2 linked regions of the Coturnix japonica genome follow. The protein of the gene in region 2 purifies or fractionates together with the protein of the main gene of each other region. This does not show direct contact. Links are inferred from orthologs where the notes say so. Each region holds a gene or a part of one and is shown on either strand. Other genes may lie near its edges.

Region 1 (4,291 bases), on a different chromosome or scaffold from region 2:
TTAGTAATTTAGTCTGCCAGGAAAAATAGAAAAAAACACCCCTACAGATCTCACAGTTGACAGCCATTCCAGCCAGCAATGGGGGAAGGAAAAAAGCTGAAGTGGACAAATAGTGAGGATTTCCTCGGGATTCATCTAGAATGGATGCAGATGAGCAGCATAAAGGTGCTGGAAATAGCCTCTAAGCAGACAATGGCTGCCAGGGTCGCCCTGTGAGTGGTGCTGCCCTTCCAGGCAGACTCCTGGCAGCACACACAGCCTGCAGCTCCTGTAGCTCTGCCCCAGCTCACCCAGTCTTCCTAAGGCCCAACATTTAATCCTAAGGGTGGGAAGCGTGTCCTCACTGGGGCTGCAAACTCCAGCCTGAATACTTCACCTTGCCCCTCGGATGAGCACATAACCCCTCACCCAAGCAGCAAATGCCTGACATCTCTCAGCCTACAAGGGACAGGCCAGCAGCCCTGAAAGCGCTTTGCTGGAAGCAGCACGGAAGTCTCCAGCTTCAGGAGGGCAGTGCATGTTAGACTTGCTTGCGGAAGTAGCTTTAGAAGCAGCACACGCAGCAGCCTGCGCTGTAGAAGTAGCAGTAAAATGAAAAGATCCTGTGAACACAGGGAGGAGCTCAGAGATGCCTCTGCTGCAGCACATACACGGCTGAGCACAGCTCAGCACAGCTGGGTGCTGGCACAGGCTGGGGACAGCCAACAACCTCACACCTCCCATGGCCATCCAGGCACCGGCAGTTGGGTACCCTGGCCTTGCTTCAGGGTGCCTGGAAGTCTTCCCAAGGCAGCCTCCAGCAGCACGTGTCTGTGTGCACAGCAGAGTCAGCCCGTTCCTTGTATGAACCATGCGTGATCGGAGCAAAACCAATAAACACTGAGCTCTTAGTGCCTCCTGCCTGCTGGAACTGCTGACCTGAGCCTCTGTGCTTCACCTCCCCACGTCCCCTCCCACTCATTCCATGTCCCTGGTGGCACCTTGGCCGCCTCCACGCAGCCTTGGCTGCGCACAGTGCCCATGTCACCAGTGGGACGTGGTGCAGTGTCTGTCACCTCAGCCATGATGTGGAATTACCAACAGCAACAAGTACAAAACCACGACACCCCCCAAAGCAGTGGGAGCTCAAAGCTTTCCCCTCGTGCTGTGGCCCATTAAACATCATTAACTATGAGCGTAAATCCGCTTCTCCCACCCCAGTGTCATCCCCAGAAGCGCTGGCACTTGGTCTGCTGTCCCATGCAGCATCTCAGCTGAACCTCCATCTGTTGTATTCTCTGGGGGGCTGGTGGCCATTCCAAAGCTGCACCCACACCCACTGAGATCTTATTTCCTTTAAGAGCCAGTTCAGCCCTTGCTGTGCTCTGCTGGAGCAATAGGGAAAGGCTCACGTCCAGCTGCTGACACTGAGAGCCAGCTATGCATTGGGAAGGTCACCATTCGTCAGGAGCCATCACGGACATGATGAGGCGGACATGGCGGTGCCCATAACGGCACGGGCCGCCCACAGACCGTGACAGCAGGACAACATGGATCCCCTGCCCGGCCCCTTTAAGGCGCCCACCTCCCCTCCTCCCCCCTGGTGACGTCATCACTGCTCGCCACACGTTCGCTCTTCCCGCTCGTTCTGCGCCAATCGCGCGCGCCGGGCCCGGAGCGCTGAGAGCGCCGAGGATGTGAGTGTGTTGGGGCTGAGCGCCGTGCGGCCATCGGCCGCCATCGGCCTTTCATCCGCCTCCATCCGCCTCCATCCGCCCCGCCGCCGCTTCGGGGCGGCACCGCCGCATCTCGGGGCTGCCCAGGGGAGCGGGCGGGAGCCGACGGAGGGGATATGGATGGACGCGGGGGATAGGGATGGCGCCGCGGCCTACCGGGGGCGGGGAGGAAGGCGGGAGGCCGGGCCGGGGCGGAGCCGGGGCTGAGGCCTGCAGCGGAGTTGGGGCCTGGTGGTCCCGGCGCCCGGCAGCGGCAGAGCAGCGAGTCGGGAGCGACCCGCGGGTCTCGCTGTGCCCGGCGTCGTTCCGCAGCCTGAGAGCGGCTGAGCCCCGGCCGCTCTGGGCCCCGCGCTGCCATGAGCTGGGCCGGGGGCGTTGAGAGGAGCTGCCGAGCGGGCTGACCTTAAATCACGCGAGGAAAACTTTGCTATAGTTGTTGTTCATATAACTATAAACAAGCTGCCGTTGCAGGGCGCGCCTGCCCTGCAGGAAGGCTGAGGGAGAGCCCAGGTCGTTGCCTTGGCTGCAGCTCTCTGTAAGAATAGGTCTCATAGCTGACTGTGTGCAGGGAATGGGCAGCTTAATAGAGTGCCCCGAGGCCGGCTGGGCTGGGCTGGGTGCTGCACAGACACTGAGATGTTGGGGATGTCGGGTTTGGTTTCCATTCTTGGAAGGGTGGATGTTGCTTAGAAGTTCCTTGTGTTGTTTTAATGTGCTCATGCTGCGGTGTTATTCTTTATGGAGGTGTGTTTTAGTGAATGCCTGAGCACCTACAAGTGAAAGTGCCCAGAGGCTGCATCTCCCAGGCTGATCTTTCCAACTAAAACTGTCCTGGGAAAGGTCTGTGTTCATTGGGTGAAAGAAGAACACTGGTTACCTTAAGGGCTGCCTAAAAGCAGCCTTTCACAGGAGGTTGCTGGATGTGTAAGCAGCATTTGGCTGTTTAGTCTGGTAAGTGCCAGCCCTGTGGGTGCACACAGGAGTGCTGCTGATGGTGCTGTTTACATGCAGCTCTTCCCAGCTCTCCAGCAGCAGGCAGGACATTAGCAAAGCACTTGTTGGGCTTCTGAGCTCTCACTTCCCATCTTGCAGAGAGGTGGAACTGGGTGATCATTAGAGTATGTGATAGATGCAGCCCTCTCATAGGAAATGTTTGGAATTGAGCTGTCAGAGTTCAGGTTTTACATGTAAACAGTTAATAGTTACACATGCAGCACACTGGCACACACGTTCATTCTCTTCCAATAACTCATTAATGTATGTTCGTGTTCCTCTGGGCATGCACAGTTACACTGAGGGTGGTTGCTGGTTGTATGCCCACTTACTTTGTCCCCATTTTTCCACCATCAGTTCCATCACTGACATTTTTGATTCACCTGGAGCTGGTTTTCCCCAATTTTGCAAACGTCCATTGCTTCTTAGGCCATAATGGGCAACTTCCAAAACAACGTGTGTGGAAATCCAAGGAAAGCGTCCTTGCCCCTGGTGAAATACAATGACCAGTGGTCTGTCGTGACTCCAGTGCTGCTTATGAAGGGGAATTGAGAGAAAACAAGGCTGATCACACACCAGGCAAAGCAGAAGTGGAGAGTTTTAGGACTAGTGCTCATTGATTCCTTTTGCTGAATTAATATATTGCTCCTCAAACTAATATACTGATCTCTGTTGCTCAATGAACCAGCCTATATTGTTACTCAGCAGCCATCTCTTCCTGCCAAGCATGTGCTTTGCTGCACAGGGTGACTATGGAAGAAACCAGAGCTTCCTCTGGAGATGAGGATGTTGTCAAGAGGCAGGAGCTGCATGTGTGCCGTGTGTAGGAGATGAATGTCCTCTGTGTGCCTTCAAGGGGAGCACATAGCGAGGGTCTTTTGTACTTCTGTGAATATCACAATTTGTAACTTTAAACACGCATACAGGTCTGTATTCCATGAAGGTTGAGCTGGCCCAGGGGCTGGATGTAACTGCCATGCAGTGCTGTGCCTGGCTGCAGTGCCCTGGAGAACACACTTGTCCTCTGGTGTGCTGCCACTGGTGCACAGCAGCTCTGCTCTTCTGTGTCTGTTCATCTTGTTTCTGAACACTCTTACCTTGTCACTTGGCTGCTCTGTTGCTTTCAATTAGGGGTCACTTCTCAGAAGCAAGGGGTTAGAACTGAGATTTGGCACAAGTGAGGCCTGTTTTGCTTTGGATACCTCTGAAGGGGAAACAGAGTTAATGGGAATTAAAAAGAAGAGTTTGCTGGGTCTTAAAGAAAATAACAAAAAATCCAGCACTAGGTAATCATTCCAGATTTTCAAGGCCTGCTGGAAGCGGGGATGCTGTAGGGTACTGGGGCTTTCCCAGTGAGGGTAAGGAGTTGAAAATATCTCTGTGGGTGAACTTACACATGACAGTAAGTTCTGTGTGCTGGACCTGCTGTCCGCAAAGCTGCTACTCTGCAATGTAACACATTTTCCTTTTTCCTAAAAAGCTCGAACTTACCTAATGCTTTAACTCTGCTCTTTTGGTGTCTTCAATTACATTTAAAGTTCAGTGTTTTGTGTTGCTGTTCTGTTCCTTGTTTGAGTGTGTTT
Region 2 (4,102 bases):
TCTGTAACACAAGCCACTGTACTTTGGAAGACACGAACCATGGAGCACAGAACAAGGCATACATACTGTGCAGTTTAATTTGTTCAGACAACATAAAAGTAATGCTTCAATAAAAGCCCTGTAGAAACAGAGTTGGGCAGTCTGGTGACCTTGCATGAAAGCGATCTGTCTTGACAGCACAGACACAGCCTTCTCTCTTGCTATCAATCCCAGGGCAGCTGCTAGGAAGGCATGCGTTCTCTTGCACAGAGAAACTAAATTTGGGAACCTCAATCCACTGCATGCAAGTGACAGTTTGAATTTCACATCCCCTTGAGAATAGGAGGGCATACGAACAGCAATGTCTGTGCTTCAGCTGACCAACTTTAATAACAAGATAATAAGTGTCTAACTTACAACTTAATCAATTAATATTTGAATGCTCCCAAATTACATAAATACTTCAGCTTTTTCCCGAAATCTACTTGCTGACTTGATGAATGAAAATTAAGCGTGCTGAAATAAATAAGCAATTCAACCATTATGTAAATACACAGACAAGTCCCCAAATATATCACAACAAGCTTTCCTTAAGCCATACTTGCACAGATATAACATCTGGAGAGACCGACTTGTTCCACATCATCTCCCATCAATAACTTTACTTCCTACGACAATGAAGTAACAGAGAAAGCAATTTGGAGAAGTCGGTATGTAAATATTATGAATACAACACACTGGATTCACAGAAAACGTATGGAATAAGCTAAGTATTGTTTCAATGTTTGAATGGCCTTTCTGTTCACAAAGTACACTAATCACTATTAACTCTCTATTCCACAGGCCATCCAGGCCACATAGCATTGCCTCACAGTTCCGACACTTGACAGATAGATCTCCTTATCAGCAGAGGTATCAAATATAACGGCTGTCACTCTTCCCAGAATTCCTAATTGTTACTATACATAAAAGAAAATGCACTTTCAATTCAGCCTTAGCGAGTCTGAACTTGCTACAGATTATTTTATAAACTAAATCACAAGACTTGAAAATATACATTACTTTCTAAAATTCAGTTAACAAGTTATGTTCACAATATCTGGTAGTTCCTTAGCTGTTTTTACATCAGTAAATGTTTTGCTTAGGGGGGGAAAAAAGAGAGATAAAAGCCTCACCCCGCTTTGTTTACAGTCTAACAACATGTTTATTCTATCACTTCCCTTTTAAAACTGCATTACAGCTGGTTCCTCAAACCCTACAGTAACATCAGCTGTTCTCAGCACTACAGTAAACAACTGTATGGAATACAGGGGACTACGGAATTCACATTTATCAGTGACAACAACTTCTCACCTTTATATTGCAAGCCACAGCCTTGCCATCATCGCCTTTAAACATCAGTTTCATTCCTCGCAGGGCATTCATGGCTTTAATGAAGCCTGCATACTCCCGATACTGAACGTAAGCCTCAAAATTTAAATGGCCTCCGAAGCTGAATGTGTGAAAGTTTCTGCCAGTCATTTCTTCTCTGTAAGGGTCCAACATGGGTATGTCCACGTTACGTATTTCTCCAAATTTCTGGAAAACTTTTGTCAGGACTTCTTCACTTGGCTTTTCTGAGCCAGAGTCCTTTGCTGCAAACCACTTACAAGGTAAGCCTTCTAGATGAATGGTATCCGGCCTTTCTCCTGGCAAAGTTTCATTCATATCTTTTGCATCACGGAAAAACGAGTCCCAGTCGTGCCTGGTAGGAAAGTCAATCTTGTATTCTGCGGCACGGACTTTTAAGATGTCGGAGAAGCCACTCAGTTTGATCGTTTTTCCATCAAGGCACGCAAGAAAAGACTTGACTAAACTTTTGTTTTCAACCTCTCCTTCGAACCGGATGAAATCCATCGTGCTTTTGGAAATCCGCAGAGTGGAAAACTGATGGGTTTGTACCATCCCTTTCAGTCTTTCCATCACTTCCCAGTTCGAGATGGACTTTCCGGGTTGTTTCAGCTGAGGAAGTGCCACACTGATGGTCATTTTTGTAATGGGTTTAAGGTATAACCCACAGGGAGCACAGAGCTCTACGGCTTCTGATGTATCATGAACTATCGTTGCAGCAGCCATAACACAGAAAAAGCACAGGATAAGAAAAAAATAAATAAAGATGCAAGTTTAAAGTTGCAGGCTCACAGTAGTCAAATAAAACAGCCCTTATCCGTAAACATTCTTTGGACATTTAACCATTCCCAACCAACGTCTCTTAAGACAAGAGTCAATTACCGAGTTAAAACCGAGCAGCACAAACATCTTAAATTACTTTACAACCACCAGAACCTACAAATAATTAAAACTCAGCAAGGCCTCAGAAGAAAAGGAGCTGACGGCAATCTCGGGCACACACGAAGCCGGCGAGCTCCCCCGGCTCCGGGGAGGAAGGAACGGGAGCGACCTCAGCCCGCTCCGAACAACAAACGCACCCACAACAAGGAGCGCAGCGGCGGGTGCCTCGTTCGCCGGCAGGAAGGCTCCTCGCCAGCAGCCTGCAACGACACAAAAACACCCCTTTACATAAAGGCCCGCAGCCCCGCCACCGGCCCTCGGCAGCCTCACCCCTACGAACTACGACAGCGTTCCCAATGTCGACACCAGCGGCACCCCAACAGAGTCCGGCGGGGGCACGGCTCCCCGCCCTCTCCCCGCCTCACCCGCAGACCGGGCCGGGCCGGGTGGGACCCCCAGGAAACAGCCTCCAGCCCCGCGAGCAGCCCAGAGGAGCCGCCGCAGCTTCCACAGCAGCTTCCGCTTCCTGGCCGTGCGCGATGGCGGCCTGCGCGGCGGCGGAGCGAGGAGGAGCGGGAGGTGGAGCATGTGGAGCGGGCGGAGGCTGTGGAAGCTGGGCAGTGATGGCTGTGCGGGGCTGTGTTCGCAATGTCTGCGTTCTCTCTCAGAGCATAGTCATAGAATCGTTGGGGTTGGAAAGGACCCACGGGGAAATGGTTTTAAGTTAAAAGAGGGAAGATTTAGGTTGGATGTTAGGGGGAAGTTCTTCACTAGGAGAGTGGTCAGGCCCTGGAACAGGCTGCCCAGGGAGGTTGTGGATGCCCCGTCCTTGGAGGTGTTCAAGACCAGGTTGGACGGGGCCCTGGGCAACCTGATCTAGTAAATGTGTATGTTTGGTGGCCCTGCCAGGCAGAGGGGTTGGAACTACATGATCCTTGAGGTCCCTTCCAGCCCGGGTCTATTTCTATTGCTGCATGCCACCAAAAAGACTCTACCTCCACTGACCTGACTCCTGGACTTCGGGTGAACAGTGATGAGACACCCTCAGAACCTTCTCCAGAGTGAAACACCCCAAGTCTCAACCTTTTCTCATAAGGGAGATGCTCCAGGCACCAGTTATCTTTGTTGCTCTCCACTAGACTCTCTCTAATAGCTCCCTGTCTTTCTTGAATGGAGGAGCCCACAACTGAACACAGCACTCCAGATGTGCCCTCACCAGGCCAGCACATTGTCCATCAGGACACCCAGGTCCTTCTTTGCAGAGCTCCTTTCCAGCAGGTCATATCCTGTCCTGTACTGGTGCATGCAGTTATTCCTCCCTAGGTGCAAGACTATTCACTTGCTCATGTTGAACCCCATCAGGTTCCTCTGCCCAACTCTGCAGCCTGTCCAGCTCTGGTTGAATGGCAGCACAGCCTTCTAGTGTGTCATCCACTCCCCCCAGCTCTACATCATTATACTTTCTGAGGGTAGACTATCCATTCATCCAGATTGCTGACAACTGTTGTACAAGCTTGGACCCAGCACTGACTTGTGGAGAATACCACTAGTTACAGGCCTACAACTAGGCTCTGTGCCATTGATCACAGTGCTCTGACTAATGTCTCCAGGCAGGAGGAGCACCTCCGAAGGAAGACAACCTTTCACTTGCTGCTTTCTGACCTTTCTGACAGCTTGTGGTTTTCCTGAGAATCAACTCAATGTCACGTCTGTGAAAAAACATCACAAAACAACAGGACAGAATTTGTTTGTATAAACAACTAGTGTTATTTAGGATGCTGTGAGATATCCAGGCCACATACATGGGGCTGGACAGTCTCCATAGAGCTTGCATACTGTCAGCTGGAGGCTG

The links.
Region 1: the proteins of AKAP17A (region 2) and RNPS1 purify together in Homo sapiens (co-immunoprecipitation; 4 studies listed by BioGRID and IntAct, with this or other methods). This does not show direct contact. The link is inferred for Coturnix japonica from reciprocal best matches to the Homo sapiens genes AKAP17A and RNPS1.

Annotation. Positions count from the first base shown.
Region 1 is NC_029529.1:12,010,149-12,014,439, reverse strand, and holds the start of RNPS1 (RNA-binding protein with serine-rich domain 1), read left to right. Parts: upstream 1-1,491; 5' UTR 1,492-1,674; coding exon 1,675-1,676; intron 1,677-4,291. UniProt on the Homo sapiens protein: Part of pre- and post-splicing multiprotein mRNP complexes. Auxiliary component of the splicing-dependent multiprotein exon junction complex (EJC) deposited at splice junction on mRNAs.
Region 2 is NC_029516.1:116,242,508-116,246,609, forward strand, and holds the start of AKAP17A (A-kinase anchor protein 17A), read right to left. Parts: upstream 2,801-4,102; 5' UTR 2,676-2,800; exon of another isoform or gene 2,511-2,675; 5' UTR 2,095-2,510; coding exon 1,333-2,094; intron 1-1,332. UniProt on the Homo sapiens protein: Splice factor regulating alternative splice site selection for certain mRNA precursors. Mediates regulation of pre-mRNA splicing in a PKA-dependent manner.